Saccharomyces cerevisiae S288C: one gene and its partners. The gene in region 2 interacts genetically with the main gene of each other region. Each region holds a gene or a part of one and is shown on either strand. Other genes may lie near its edges.

Evidence for each region.
Region 1: mutations in PMT7 (region 2) and IRC22 together harm fitness less than expected from each alone (positive genetic interaction), as found in Saccharomyces cerevisiae (one large-scale study listed by BioGRID).
Region 3: mutations in PMT7 (region 2) and PSP1 together harm fitness more than expected from each alone (negative genetic interaction), as found in Saccharomyces cerevisiae (one large-scale study listed by BioGRID).

What each region holds. Positions count from the first base shown.
Region 1 is NC_001137.3:149,801-153,970, forward strand, and holds IRC22 (Irc22p), read right to left. Parts: upstream 1,179-4,170; coding exon 501-1,178; downstream 1-500. Other genes in the region: WBP1 (dolichyl-diphosphooligosaccharide-protein glycotransferase), read right to left, coding at 1-214; alpha-1,3-mannosyltransferase MNN1, read left to right, coding at 3,720-4,170. UniProt on the Saccharomyces cerevisiae protein: Is probably involved in a pathway contributing to genomic integrity.
Region 2 is NC_001136.10:1,072,816-1,078,728, reverse strand, and holds PMT7 (putative dolichyl-phosphate-mannose--protein mannosyltransferase), read right to left. Parts: upstream 2,865-5,913; coding exon 876-2,864; downstream 1-875. Other genes in the region: SRB7 (Srb7p), read left to right, coding at 280-702; PFU1 (Pfu1p), read left to right, coding at 3,558-4,994; HNT2 (bis(5'-adenosyl)-triphosphatase), read left to right, coding at 5,241-5,327, 5,417-5,913. UniProt on the Saccharomyces cerevisiae protein: Probable protein O-mannosyltransferase involved in O-glycosylation which is essential for cell wall rigidity. Transfers mannose from Dol-P-mannose to Ser or Thr residues on proteins.
Region 3 is NC_001136.10:1,455,977-1,462,312, reverse strand, and holds PSP1 (Psp1p), read left to right. Parts: upstream 1-3,092; coding exon 3,093-5,618; downstream 5,619-6,336. Other genes in the region: GMC1 (putative oxidoreductase), read left to right, coding at 759-2,585; SPG3 (Spg3p), read left to right, coding at 5,619-6,002. UniProt on the Saccharomyces cerevisiae protein: DNA polymerase alpha mutation suppressor.

The DNA of each region.
Region 1 (4,170 bases), on a different chromosome or scaffold from region 2:
CTTTGTCATACAAATCCACAGTAGTGGAAGTACTGTTAATATCTAAATATTCAAGTTTGTAATTCCTTTGTTCTAGATCTTTTAAATAGACTGAGTACTCCTCTAAAGGTTCCGTAGATTGGTCGTAAAGAACAAGCGTTCTTGAAGTTTGTGTGCCCACAACGAAAATGGCCTGCAGAAGGATACAAAAGAAAAAATTCCAATCGGTCCGCATCCTAAATAATCAAAAAAGGATAATTCAAAATTTGCACCGTCAATTGTGTTAAAGTATTCAACTTTATAACCAATTCAGTTGACTATACACCTCTTTAAAGGTTTCTCTTTTCAAGAAGCGTGTTTGATATTTTTCAGGCGTAGCTTAGGGTAATGCATTATTCAATAACCCGCCCTGAAAATATCGAAAGTAGATATTGGGATATCTTTAATTGTAGTATACTAATATGTATCTATAAAACAATGAGAGCCCCCTATCATCATCCAGAGATCTTACTCCGCCATTTTTATTTTTTATAGGTTTCTGGCAACCATGATTCATCAACTTTTTTGACAGTGGCACTCTTCTTGGAAGGTCTTTGATTTGTTTTAGACTTCATGTAGTAATAACTTACACCTCCGATGATGGCTAGAAAGATGACCTGAACTGATAAAAATTGTGGGTTGAAAAAGGAAATAGGTGGGCTAACAATTTCGAATAGGGTTGGTGGTGCCGCAATTCTCACGATTTCATCGAACCTAGAAGCTAATAAAAATGGGATTAAAAAGTATTGTCCTTCCGGTAAATTTAACGTAACGTCTTGCCCGAATTTTGAAGTTCCGTTGACCTCCATTTCGTAAGGCCCAATACTCGCACCTGTAATGTCCGCCACAGGATAACCATGTGGATATGTAACAATTGTTCCGTTGACACCAAAAATTGTGATATTAGTATCTTCCCAATTAGTAACATTATAGGCTAAGGTAGCGGTATCCTCCGCGTAAAACTCAAGGAAAGAATCATGATTTTCTGATTCCTTCCCAACGACATCATATTTCACCTCTATATTAATAGAAGGTGGCGCTACCGCCTCCGCAACTTCCTGTTCATGTTCGACATTGTCGCTATTATTAGCTGATATGGCAGCACAGAAGCTGCTCAAGGCAGTTAATAAATTAAACCCGATTAACATAGAAAACCTCATAATTGCCAGCTATAAAGAAGTGACAGTGAACTTTTACTTGTTTCTTTTGTTTAACCACTAGTATGTAATTGTTTTTGCAGAATTTGAAACTTCACCAAAATCTTCTTAACGTTCAATGACAAAATTACTTACCCGAACTACCGAACTACGAAACATGAATAAATAAACTGGAGGCATAAACTCATTTCCAAATTCCCGGAATACATCGTGTAGTCAAGCAGCATACATCACTATCAAAAATCATGCGCTTGTGATTATCGTATAGTGTATTTATATAATATATATAGATAGCGATAAATGGCAAGATCCTCTATGATAAAAGTCATCATAATGAAAACAGATGGCGCTTGTCTACTGTTTGCAAGGCTTGAAATCACAGGTTTTTATTATATCGTGGATTTTTGCCATTGCCTAAATCAAAAATAATGATCGATTTTTTGTGAATTAGGGAACGGAAGGAAAAAATCAGCAAACAGTCAGCCCTAGCACCATAGGCCGACAGCAACAAAAACTGTTTTTTTATTCTCAAATATTCATGATATTGATTACACCGTACTTCTTTTCAATGCGTAAACAACTAGAGTTGACAAATATTATAAACTAAAAACTATCATATTAATAATATACCTCCTAGCACTTCGTAATGTTTCTGTCATTGAATGGCGAGAACATAATTTTAAAGAATCAACACCTTAAATTGTTAACCTTAACAAATGAAGTAAATTCAAATATTTACTCTTGAATTCTTTTTGCTTTAACTAACACATTGAAATATCAAATTAGTCCACTTTTCTTCCTTGTTGAATGGGTTTCTTCATTAACAGGGGAACGCTTGCCTACCATCAAGCCCATTCAATGCAGATGTGATTAATTGGTAAACAAAGGGCCAAGCAAAAATACATCTCTCCTACATGCTACATAAGTCCGAGATATGTTTTATTTAAGAACTATGAATCTGTAAATGACTGATTCAATATTAAACTAAAATTTCTATGAAACATCAAATTAATCACGTGCTTTTTAAAAAATATAAATTTAATTTCATTTTCTATTTCAATATTTATTAAATAAAAAATTTGAAAAATATATAAAAATTGTAGCAGTATTAGATTTCCGAAAAGAAAAAAAGGTTTCAAGAAAAGGAAAAGAAAAACTAAACGTAGTATAAAGTCTTGTTTAGTGCAAGCCACTGTTGGCGTTTCAACTAAACTATTCCTTAAAAATAAAGTACAATGTTACTGCTAAACAATGTTGAAGGTGAGCTTAAGACAGTAAATCAAGGAAATGCGGTATAATTCCTGCTGACAAAGCCGCACATAAATAGCAGTTGTTAGCTATAAGGAGATTTTTAGCTACGAACATGGTTGTAATTCTCTTTATCCTGATTACCTTCAAGATTAAGAAAAAAACAACCATGGTAACTACTTTGGCTCAAAGTCAAACAAAACTTTTACCATTTCACGGTACACGTTTCCGATAAAATATCACTAGCTATTCAATGTCTGTATTCATCGATAAGCCAGAGTACGACGTACAAAAAATAACGTAAATGCATATCCTGCATCAAGAAAGAACCCTTATGGACGAACAACGAAAGAGATCTAAATTTAGAAGACAGCAAGACTAACCATTTGATAGCGTAGTAAGGCTTATCTAGAAATGTTGGACAGATAGGAAGAGAAAGTATAATAATGGTGTATGGTAGATGACTCTATAATCGTGGTCGGAACGTGCAATATATGAGAACGATGAATGCATATACATATGTCGCGACTCCTTTTTTTCCATTATAGCGGCATCGCTTTATTTCGCGTTTTAATTCATTTTCTTTTTTCTTCATTTCTTTCTGCATATGCAAACGCGGCAAGAAGTGCCCACGGATCCGAAGAAAACCTAATACATTGAAGTTTCTCTCCCTGAGATAGGAACTCTCTCTTCTGCGTCAGAAAAAAAAAAAAGTACTCTTTCTGCATATATTGCTCACTACTGACTCACTGATCCTTTTACGAATAGTTGGGCAACACCTATTAAGTTGTAAAACAATCGCGAAAAAAAAAAGAAAACAACCAAGGCATCCCACTTTTCGAACCCTGGCGCTCGGAAGACTTAATCATTGCGAGGTCTCAATTGGCCGGACCGCCACCATGCAGAAAAATGGTGGAAAGTGCGTGCGCGTTTCTCGTGCCACGTGCTTTTAACCTAAATAGGATACAAACTATCGGCTTATCTTTAGACACGCTCTCGCAGAACGATGAGCTACTGACATTTTGAGTTGATATTCAACCTTTTAAGGTATCTCAGAATGAGGCTCCGGCGCCACCGCAAAGTCTACCTTTTCTTCTTTAAGCCTTGAGTTTCTTCTTTTGCGAAAACGTTGCAATGTATTAGGCAAGATTATATTAAGGAGGTATTATAAAAAGGACTCATAAGTGAAATAAATAATATTCGTAATGCTAAATGTCCTGGTCTTGCTTCGTACTCTCGAAAAACGTAATCTTGCGGTATTTAACGCTAGTTTAAGAAAGTGTTACTGTGTATTAAATGTTGGCACTCCGGAGATTTATATTAAACCAAAGGTCTTTGAGATCGTGTACCATACCGATTCTAGTCGGAGCCTTGATCATTATTCTCGTGCTATTCCAACTAGTTACCCACCGAAATGATGCGCTTATACGATCAAGCAATGTAAACAGTACAAACAAGAAAACATTGAAAGATGCAGATCCTAAGGTTCTTATTGAAGCCTTCGGCTCTCCTGAGGTCGACCCAGTGGATACAATTCCAGTATCGCCACTAGAATTAGTTCCATTTTATGACCAGTCTATAGATACTAAAAGGAGTTCTAGTTGGCTAATCAATAAGAAGGGCTATTATAAGCATTTCAACGAATTAAGCTTAACTGATAGATGTAAATTTTATTTCCGGACACTGTATACGCTAGACGATGAATGGACTAATAGTGTGAAGAAACTGGAGTACAGCATAAATGATA
Region 2 (5,913 bases):
TATATATTACTTAAGATTGTTCATATAACTAACATTTATATGCTTATATGCGTGAAGTGCGCTTTTGTAGAACATGTGGCTGTTTCTGTAGAAGCCTTGTCTTTCTCTGTAATCCTTTAAAGGCCAACCGTACGTGCTTAATTACAAGCTTTGTTCGCATTGCAAGAAAGTTAGAAAAAAAATCAATTCTGAAAGATAATTATAATTCAAACGGTAAACCATTGGTTAAAAGAGGGACATAACATTTCACTAGTTCAATACATTATATGCTCTTTAACAATGACAGATAGATTAACACAATTGCAGATATGTTTAGACCAAATGACGGAGCAATTCTGTGCTACTTTAAACTACATAGATAAGAACCATGGTTTTGAACGATTGACCGTAAATGAACCTCAGATGTCCGATAAGCATGCCACAGTAGTACCTCCTGAGGAATTTTCTAACACGATAGATGAGCTATCCACGGACATTATACTTAAAACAAGACAGATAAACAAGCTTATTGACTCGTTACCTGGTGTTGACGTTTCAGCTGAAGAGCAATTAAGGAAGATTGATATGTTGCAGAAAAAGCTAGTTGAAGTGGAAGACGAAAAAATTGAGGCCATCAAAAAGAAGGAGAAACTTTTAAGGCACGTTGATTCTTTAATTGAAGATTTTGTAGATGGCATTGCAAACTCAAAAAAGAGCACATAAACTTAAGTTTTACAAAGAAATTTGCGAACAGAGGACAGAAAATGTACTATAGTTATATGGCAGAGTTAAGCGTATGTATGTTATTCTTATAAATAATTGTGCTACTCTATTTGTACCGGAGAATTATTGAAGCAATGGGAGAAAAATCATAATGGAGAAAATCTTTCTACGAGTTACTTTGCAAGGCAATCTAACGATTCTAAAAGACACAATACACTAAAGAAAAAACTTTGGAAGTACAGTTTTTTCCCCAAGTTGAAGTGTGGACTCATTGTGAAGATGTAAAAATGTAAAAACCAACCGACAATGCACTCCCAGCCAAATTCATTGTAGACCTCCCATTTGATAGAAAAGGAAGGTTCAGCAGTTGTCCACGGATTCCAAGATATCATTCTCTTACATTGCACGCACATGAAAATGATCATCGAGAGTAAGGATCCATACCATGCAAAATTAAACCAAACTGGAGAGTCTGTGTCTAACGTAATTGGCCATTTTTCCACGGCGAACGCATCTTCAAAAGTGACCTTATTTTTACCGTATTTAATATAGTAATTGTACTTGTATTGTTTGAAAATATATTCTTTGAAAAGATAAAGAAATTGTGACCAAGATAAGGTATGATTGAATTCTGCTGAAGAACTTATTTTGCCGATATAATATTCTATCATTGGGACTTGGAAATCGACTGGTAGTTGTACTGAGTCTATTAGAAAAGTGGTTCTTGGTATTACTGGGTACTCCATACATAGGACTTCTTGCTCAAAGCGGCCCCATTCAGGTAACCGAAGATCATGGCCCAATAGCCCACATCTCTGGCCGTTATTGTAAAAGCGTATCTCTGATTGAAGCGGTTTAATGTATTTATCATCTGCGTTATCCTTTTTATCATTGTTGATTTCATCTTTAATCAGGAGAACATCCCATCTCTCATCCATTCCTCCTTCGTAGTTTGAATCTTTCGTGCATGAAATTTGAAAGTCATAGTCCTGCTCGCTGATGGGAGGTTTAGCAGTGCTGGCTCTCAATAATTTTCCAGTAGATTTGTGTCTTAGTTTTATACTTTGACCAAATTCTACAGGTATCAATTGATCAGCATGGTATACCTCAGAAAAACTCAAATTTAATGTAGGATGTTCTATTAACCATTCATTGTCTGCCGCGAATTCTTCAAATGATAACGCTACTAACTGTTCGTCAACATCTGATGGATACGAAATATCGTGAGAAGCAAGATATCCGACCATAGAATCTAAATGACGTAATGTGATCGTTGATCCATAGTACAATCGACTCGGTTGTACTTGAGGGCCTCTTAAATAGGACTTGAAATATGTGCTCATATATTTTGAAAATTGTGGCGTGTCTGTCTTAAAATTCGAAAGTAAGTTCGAATAACTTATTATGAAGATGGAACCAGGGATAATCAAAACGAATAATAGACAGAGAATGACAAATTTTATTATTTGGATGGTCGTAACTTTAACGTCGCTTATCAGTCTATCAAATTGACGTACAAAAGAAAGAATTACGAAGGCCCAAGTGACAATTCCAATAAATTTAGAAGAGATTGCCAGCCCTAAAGAAATAGATAATGTAATCACATTAGCAAACCAATTCGTAGTTCCCAGTTTTGCAATTGAAATGCTTATAAAACTGTAAATTACTACTGAGAACAGACACCATTCTAAACTGTCAAATGATATAATAGTGCCCTCATTTCTGAAAGTTTCCCAGTTGGATAATATCAGCAAACCTGTTGCTGAAATTAAACGAGAGCAATTGATTCTCCTTGTTATCAGGAAAAGAAAACCTAAAGTCGATGAATTCAAAAACAAAGAAACGTATCTTAAATTTTCTGCGATCTTTAATCTTCGAATAATGGAGTAGAACTGTATTGTAAATGGTGGCAATTCATGGATGTAAAAAGCCTTGTCTAGGTAAAACTGAATTAATTGGGAAAGTTCTTGTTCACTATTATTGTCCCATGGTCGGTTCCAGAATGAAGAAGAGTGCGATTTCCATATTAATGTGAAATTGGTAATAACAATCAAAAACGCGAAAATATAATCAAGCGTCTTTAAGTGACCAATTCCACATTGTTGGAAAATATTATAGGGAATGTACTTTCTGTAGGGCCCCTGTAATCTCAAGTCCTTCATGTTTTGTAAGTTAATTTTTTTCTGTTCAAACACTATCGCCCTTAAGTGTCTACGTTCTTATTCTCCTTAAATAATAACATTTTTAGTATTCGATTTTCTATTTTTCCTTTCTTCATTACTTCATTACCAAAGTAAGAGTGACCGATGTAGGAAGCAATATTGAAAGGAAGGGAAGGGGAGCACAATGAAACAAAGGGTTAGTGTGATGAAAACGACAGGAAGTAACTATAAGAAGCAGTAAAGTTGAGACTTGCTGCACCATTTTTATTGCCACACCTTTATTAGTTCTTTATGAATCCTAAGCTGTCATCCGTAATATTGTTCCAATAGTGTAGCGGCTATCACGTTGCCTTCACACGGCAAAGGTCCCGAGTTCGATCCTCGGTTGGAACATTTGTTTTTTCACTACTACTATATTTTTAGTTGAATCCTAGGCCACATTTAATTGACTAATAGACTTAAGATCGAGATTAGTAATCTTCTGACTTTTTTCTACTGTGTAATTGTTGAATGATAGTCTCTATTTTATTGTTAAAGCCCTGCGGCCGGGTTACCTCTTCATGAGGGGTAAGGGTTGTCAATACAAGATGTGTCTAGTATTGAGAGTAATATGACGGCATCGTCAAGATTTGTACATCGACAAACATGTGCAACAGCTCTAACACATAATCATATCAACCACAGTACTCAGTAATGGCAAACAAATCACGACCCAAGAAAATCAAGGCTCCTTACAGGAAGTACGTGGCGGGAGAGGGTTTCTCCTCTACAAGAAATGATAATAAGGCTAAAGAATTCACTATCACTATACCGGAGGATGCAGAACTCATTGAGACTCCACAGGGGTCTTATTACTATGATGAAACCAATGATACTATAGTGAAATTGACACGACTGAGTAATGAAAAAAAGGATAAAAAAGGACGTAAGCAGTCGCCATCGTCATCATCGACATCGTCCTCCAAAGGAGAAAAAAATGGCAAAGTCATAGAGAGTGAGGAAGCGAGGATGCATTCAGTATCAGTAAAGATGGTTTTGCCATGGGAGATACAGCATAGAATAATTCATTATCTTGATATACCAGAGAAAGAAGAAAAATTAAATAAAACTGCTAATGGAAAAAAAACTACGACTGGTATAAATATGAACTACTTACTAGTTTGCAGAAACTGGTACGCCATGTGTCTACCAAAGCTTTATTATGCACCAGCGTTAACAAGTAAGAATTTCAACGGGTTTGTTGATACAATAATCATAAATAAAAAGAAGAATTTAGGACACTATGTTTTTGAGTTGAACTTGTCTACAATTTTACAAAGTGGTAGAAATTCATTTGTCTCCAAGCTTTTACGACGATGCTGTTCTAACCTAACTAAATTCATCGCACCACAGACAAGCTTTGGTTACGCGCCTTTGATTTCATTGAAATCGTGTCATGATTTGAAATTTTTAGACTTGGGTTTAGTATCGGAAACAGTTAAGCTGAAGGAGTTATTTTCTGCCATTAAAAATTTCACTAAATTAACGCATTTATCTTTTCCCAGATCGTCGATTGACTGCCAAGGGTTCCAAGATATTCAATGGCCACAGAATCTCAGGTACTTGAAATTGAGTGGAGGTATAACAAATGAATTTGTGATTGATACGAAATGGCCAACAACTATTACAACTTTAGAATTCTCTTATTGTCCTCAAATAACGGAATTGTCTATTTATTCGTTGTTATCACAGATCGGTGATAATTTAAAGCATTTATTTTTTCATTATCCGATGCCATCTCTGGCAGAAAATTCCCTAGACCATGTCTTCACGTACTGTGCTAATTTAATTTCTTTGCAGCTCATGGTTGATTACTGTTCTAAGTGGTGCTTTTCTGAATTCATGCTAAGTAAATTGGTGGAATATGATAGGCCTCTTAAAACATTGTACTTAGAATGCAGCGGATCCTTGGGATTAGCTTCTAAGATTCATCCCGATGACTTGACTATAGCCATACTGGAATCCAGGCTGCCCTGCCTAAAGAATATTTGTGTTTCTCCCAAGCTGGGGTGGAACATGAAAAGCGATGAAGTCGCTGATTTGGTAGTCTCTTTGGAAGATCAAGATGGCAGTTTATATCTTAATTATTAAAATGTTCATTGTTTGTTTTATAAGAGTCAGTGTTTTCTTTTAGACACTATTAGGAAGAATTATTTTATCCGGCCTAAAAAAAATATTTTACATGCAAACTTGCATATATTTTGCCATTGACACCAATTAGAATGTGTAATTTTCCTGGTTTATACGTTTCTCAAGATATGGTCGAATCTTCTTTTCTGCTCAATTGTAAGAAGCGAAGAAAAAAAGGAAGCTCCATTGATCTATCTTGGGCTCAGAATGATCTTAAGCAAAACAAAGAAACCTAAAAGCATGAATAAGCCAATATATTTCAGCAAGTTTCTTGTAACTGAACAAGTTTTCTATGTATGCACTCTCATATGTTTTTTTGTACCCCATTCGCACCATTGCGTTACTAACTATATGGAGACCTTATAATCTCTGCTTCTTTACAGAAGTCAAAATATACGTATGCATTGGTAAACTTGAAACCAATTGTACCCGGACATGTACTGATCGTTCCACTGAGAACTACGGTTTTAAACTTATCAGATCTGACCATGCCTGAATCTCAAGATTATTTCAAGACTTTACAGTTAATACATAGATTTATTAAGTGGCAATATAAGGCTGACTCTATCAACGTTGCCATCCAAGATGGACCTGAGGCCGGACAGTCGGTACCCCACTTGCATACACACATTATTCCACGTTATAAAATAAACAATGTAGGGGATTTAATATACGATAAATTAGATCATTGGGATGGTAATGGGACTTTGACTGATTGGCAAGGAAGAAGAGACGAATATTTGGGTGTTGGTGGTAGGCAAGCAAGAAAAAATAACTCTACATCGGCCACTGTAGACGGGGATGAACTCTCACAAGGTCCTAATGTCTTGAAGCCAGACAGTCAAAGGAAGGTTCGAGCTTTAACCGAAATGAAAAAAGA
Region 3 (6,336 bases), 380 kb from region 2:
CCATAATATTTCGCTCATATTATTTTTGCTTATTTTTTCCCCTCCGTATTAATACTTTAAATAACAATCTAATGGAGGTACTGGACTCTATGTACTATTATATTTACCCTTAAAATATCGTGTTGATTACTATTTGTATAACCGTTTGTTTTTCTAACTATATATGAAAGAAAAGTAGTTATAGTTATAGTAGTTGAAGATTTAAAAGCTATTTGCCCTCTTTGGGATTAAAGTAAGAGCTAAACATAAATTATGTAACAGTTTAATTTTCCGAACATTAATTGTTGTTAAAGGCTTTAATATCAAGTATACTGAATATGCTAGAAGTTCCACTCAAGCATATAAGAATATCTGCCTAAATTATTATTTATCACTACAACTTGGCTACAAATTATGAACAATGAGGCCGACAAGAAGTTACTCTCTTAAAAAATGGGATATGATATATACAAACATATGATACAAAAATTTCAACAAATAAGTGGTTGTTTGGCCGAGCGGTCTAAGGCGCCTGATTCAAGAAAAAATCTTGACCGCAGTGAACTGTGGGAATACTCAGGTATCGTAAGATGCAAGAGTTCGAATCTCTTAGCAACCAATATTTTTTAGTTTACATTTTTTTCGGGGATAGTCATAGAGGATCCACCTTCATCTCAGCTGTCCACATTAAGGCCAAAGCTAATAAAGTGGCACATACTGGGCGGTTAAACAAAGTTATTAAGTAATTATTGCAAAACTCCGTGGACAACTTGTTTAGAATGAAGGTCATTCTCCTTAAGCCGGTTCAGTTGCCAATGCTACTCTTAATACTATTAAAATTTATTATGGCCGCTAAGGAAGGCAAAATACATGTCTTAGAATTCAATGCGAGCAGTGAATACACGCTTGATAAGAGAAGAGTTATCTCCATAAATGGCTACAGCGCTACATTTGGCCCAGAAATTCGAGTTAAATCCGGTGACACTCTTAACTTGAAATTGACTAACTGGATATGTTCAGAAGAAGAAGCTAGTAAAGACAGTGATGTTTGGAAGGATTACTGTTCAACAGCTTTACATTTTCATGGGGTGGTACCTTTAGCAAATGAATTTGATGGAATTCCAGGTTTAACACAGCCCACTATTGGATATGGAGAAAGTTATTGGTATAATTTTACCATTGATCAATCAACCTGTGGTACTTTTTGGTACCATTCGCATTCATCAGTACAATACGGTGACGGTATGAGAGGTGTTCTGATAGTTGAATGCGATGATTATGATAATCATGTGGCAAATACTATTAATTCTGTGAGAGACATAGAGACACTAGATGACGGTGTTGTTACAATGAAAAAAGATAAACACACGAAGGAATTGACGGATTATGAAGTTCAAGAAAGGATTATCACTTTGAGTGATTGGTATACCAATTGGAATTTGGACATTTTAAACGACAAGGTTTTGTCATCTACCGGGGGTACAGATCCCAAATTTGATGGATCATTAATAAATGGAAAATCATCTGACGGTGAAACTATCAAAATAGGATTTAACACCGAGTATCTTCTTTTGAGAATCGTAAACTCAGGAATGTCTGGTACTCAAGTCTTTCACCTTGATGGATTCCAATTAATTGTTCTAGAAGCCGACGGGATTATGATTAAACCGTTCATTGTACAAACGATAAATTTAGCGGTCGGACAAAGATATACAATTTTGGTCAAACTAAAGTCTGACACTAGTTTTATTCGTATGATTAATGGCTGTAACAAAATGATGGGTTATATAACAAAACAGTGGTGGTTTTACAAAGAAGGCGCTCATTTGGACCTACCAAAGAACCCCAATGACGTTTCCATCGAACACTTGCCTGGTTTCACTAAGGCCGAGCTTTATCGCGACATAGAACCAACGCAAGAAGAGAATAAAAAGTTACGCACAAAGGCTGATCCTGTTGCAGTTTTCGAATTCGATTATGCTTATTACAAAGATGAAAGCACGAAACAAAAGTATGGGACTGGGATGTATAAGGTGAACGAACGGACATTCAGCGAGTACGTAAAAGACCCGGTAAGGTTCGGATTCAACGAAACATATGATATTGTAATCAACTCACTGGACCACATGAGACACCCATGGCATATGCATGGCCATCACTTCCAGATAATATCTCTTGGCAATAAAGGTGATGGCCCATTTCACAAAGACGTACAAGAGGGCAAGGCATGGAGCCGCTATCAGAACGATTTACGTCACCTGGCCCGAACCGGAAAGGCACCGATGGTAAGGGATAGCATTAACATTGCAGGAAATTCTTACGCGGTTTTGAGAATTAACACCGAGATGCCCGGAAAATGGCTTTTACATTGTCATGTGGAGTGGCACATGATGAAGGGGCTTGGCATTGTCTTTGAGGTTCCGACAACAACCGAGGACAGTACCAAACAAGCAACTACAGCTGTATTATCGTACCCTACCAAGGAACCTGACCCTAACACTGTTGTCCATACAGCCGCACTTGAACAAAATAAGTCCAAGGTAATAGCCGTCTACATCCTAATCATGTGTGCGGTTGATGCTATCTTCTACTGGTTGCTCATGTAATCACATCCATTTCTCCCAACTCATTGCTTTTTTTCGCTTTTCCCACAGCCGTTTACAAGGCCGCAAAAAAGAAAACCCGCAAAGCTGACGGAAAAAGTATCGGCTAGCTTTCCATTGGCGACAATCGCCTCCGAGTGCGAAAACCTGTATTTCTCTGACTGCCGTAGGTCATATAGGATTGGGTCATAACGGTTTTTTGGAGACGAATCCTTCCCCTAATCGTGTTGGATAACATTACGGATCCGTGTTTTAGCTAAAGGAACAAAACAAAAATAAATAAAGGATAAGAAGAAGGATTCACTGATAATTAAGAGCTGTATTTTTCATTGGTTCGGCAGTTAGAAACAGAGATAGCATCAGTTCGAGTGTTCTTTGATATAGTAAACAGCGTATATAGAAAAGAATAAAGTGTATTGAAAGGCTCAAGAGAATTATAGAGAAAAAAACGAAGGATAAATCAAAAAAAGCGGTGTCTGATACAGTGCTCAATAGAAATACAGTTGCAAAATGGACCTCCCAACTGTTAATAGCACAACAAGCATTTCCGACAATGTGGATTTAAAGAACTACTATGAGGACTTGCTTTTCAAGAATAACAGCGGAAAATCGCTATCCGATTTACCCCGTAAACTGAATGATAACTCCAATAATTCAGGAAGTGATACGGTTGATCCGCTTGCTGGCCTGAATAATTTGAGAAACTCAATAAAAAGTGCGGGAAATGGTATGGAAAACAGGAGGACTTTTGACGATATTGATTTTATGGGTAGGTTTCCGTATTTGCCACCAGTGCCAAATCAACAACAGCAACCGTTTTCTCACCAGAACGGGTTCATTCAAGAACACCCTTCCAGTAATTTGACCTCTTTTCAAATGTCTTCGTCTAATTCAGAGCCGATGTCCGCACCGCCCATTTCATCCAATAACAATAATTTAAACTCTACTCAAATGGGTAATTATCAAGCTCAACAACGGTCGTTCCCGCAATTTAATGGAAATTCATTTCATTCAAATGGAAACGACCTAATGGGGAATCGGATGGATTCAGACTACATGCGTTTAATGAATAAAACAAACATAGGTTTTACTTCCAATAGCGGCAGCAATTTTGCTGCCCCATCACACAGTGCTGGCAACCCATCTAGTATGAACAACCAACAAGTACCATCATTTAATTGGCAACAGCCATCTCATCCAGAGTCTACCATTAGGAGATCCTCCTACATATCAGATACTCTAATCAACCATCAAATGCCTGACGCTCGGCAAAAGCAAACATCCCAAGTGCAGCAGCAACACGCTCAAGGTTTCAATCTTTTCAATAGCAGATTCAACTATGACAACTTGAACTCAACCCATTTGACCGCCAAAGGTGTGCCCGAGTTTGGAAATGGTGTACAACCTCCGTATCCTTATGATAACGAGCCTAATAATGCCAGTATCAGCAATAGTAATAACAACAACAACAGTCACAATATGGTTCCAATGCAACAGTTTCGCCGGAATACACAACCGGTAGCGAGCTTCAATCCATCCCTTCCTACTTTTCAACAACAACAGCAACAACCACAACAACCACAACAACCAAGAAACGTTAATGTACCTACTTCTTTCAATGGCGAACGTGTTGATGATGTTCAGCTTGTTCAACTTCAAAGAAGCAGTTCTGTCCCTTCTTCTACAAACTCACATAACCTTCAGAACGAGAACAGCAATGAAGGAAATGTATCTTTGGACAATGGTTTAGTTTTAATTCAGGGTAAACACTTGACTTCGTCCAAAACCTTACACGATTTATACAGCGACTGTGGCAGCGGCTATTTTGCTAGCTCTGCAGTTTTTGAATTCACAGATAATATTAAGAAAATGCTGAAGTTGCACGATTCTAATGAAAGTTACGACGCGAAGAACATGGGCTTAATCGATGAAGAAGGTAATACATACCAATCTTTATTAAATTTCTTGGACATTTTAAGAAGTTGCAACATGAATTACGTTAATGATCCAGAGTCGAATAATGGAATTGTTTCCAATAATGGAGGCAATAAAAATAGGAGGAAGGGCTCTTTCACAACAGAACTATCATGCAGGAATGCTAATAACTCCTTTTTACCTTATACACCATTGGTACTGGTTGCTTTGAAAAATGGGAAACTTGAACTACTATCTACTCCACAAGCTACCAATTTGTTGTTAAAGAGAGGTGACTTGGTTATTATTGATGGTGACCGTGGAAGGGATTTAGTATTGGTTGTTGAGCCCTCTGTCGATTTGAATTTAGCATTATTTATAAATTTTCTGAAAAAGAAAATTCACTTTGACTCTTTAATTACAAGTGAGTCACAGCACTATCGCAATGATGAGTTTATTCAAATGTTGATTGACTCAAAAAATGGGCAAAAGAAAAAATTAAATCCCAAATTGTATGATGTTGTTGAATTAACTGAGTTAATCATACCATCTAAACAAGTCTTACGTTTTGCCACCCCGTGGGAGGTAACAACGAATTTGCACAATAAATTTGAAGATGAATTAAAAGCCTTGCATATTGCTCAGAGTAAATTACAAGCGTTAAATGATAATTCAAAATCTCAAAATACAAATGACAGTTCTTCCAATAATTTTACGAATGCTGCAACTTATTCAAAGCCTAAATTGAATATCAAGATTTTAAACGCAGAATTCCAATTTGATAGAAAGAAATTAACGTTTTACTACGTTTGTGAGGAGAGAAATGATTTTAGAGACTTGATAAAAGAGCTGTTCAAATATTACAAGACAAGAATTTGGTTGTGTGCCATCCCGAATAATCTGTCTATTGATTCTAAGTATTATGATAAACAACAAAAAGAGCTGAAATTATATCAAAACATAGTAAAAAATTACAATGCTGAAGATTTAATGAATGTCAATGAGTTTTCGCAGAACAGGGGGAATAACAGAGTTAATTTTGCACCTCCGTTGAACGAAATTGAACTCGACAACTTTCAGATTGCTGTGTATGAAGAATTAGTTCACGAATTATTTCATTAAATGATCTGTTATTTCCTTGTTGTAACTATAAATTTTCTAAAAGAAAAGACAACCATTTGCCATTATTTTGTTAACATTTTTTCATTGTTTTTGTTTTTGTTTGTTTTTGTTTTTGTTTTTATTTTTGTCTACTTTTTTTATGTTATTTTGTTTTATCGTTTCTGTTCGTTGTTTACCTATTTTCCTGCCAATTCAATTTGGTACTATCTTTCTATTATCAATATTTTCTTTCCCTTATGTTTTTTTCTATATGAAAACTTCACAGGGAGAAATAGAAGAAAATGTTCATTATTCTGTTTAACTTTGATAAAAATTACTTATACGTCTCCCAATCATGGTTTCATGGTCACTGGTAAGGAAAAATTCGAAAAACTACGGGACTAAAAATTTTTTAAAGATTGTCCATATTCCTCGATCCACACTTTCAAGTTTGAGATTTATTGTTGGCAACTTTCTTACATTTTTGTTGTTTCAACTTCTATTTTATATTCTAACAGCCGCTTCCATTTATTTTTCATAGGCTTTATATAAAAAACAAAAAATAATGGAATCAACCAACCCTTATAAACTTATATGTAGTTTACATTTAATCAAGGTCTGTTATCGTGGCTATTGCTCTAATTCATTATTTGTCGACATGTATTGGTTGATAATTTTTGTTTTGGTTCACGCGTAAGAATTTTTTTTCTTGTAGTTGCCACGTGAAACCTGACAACTT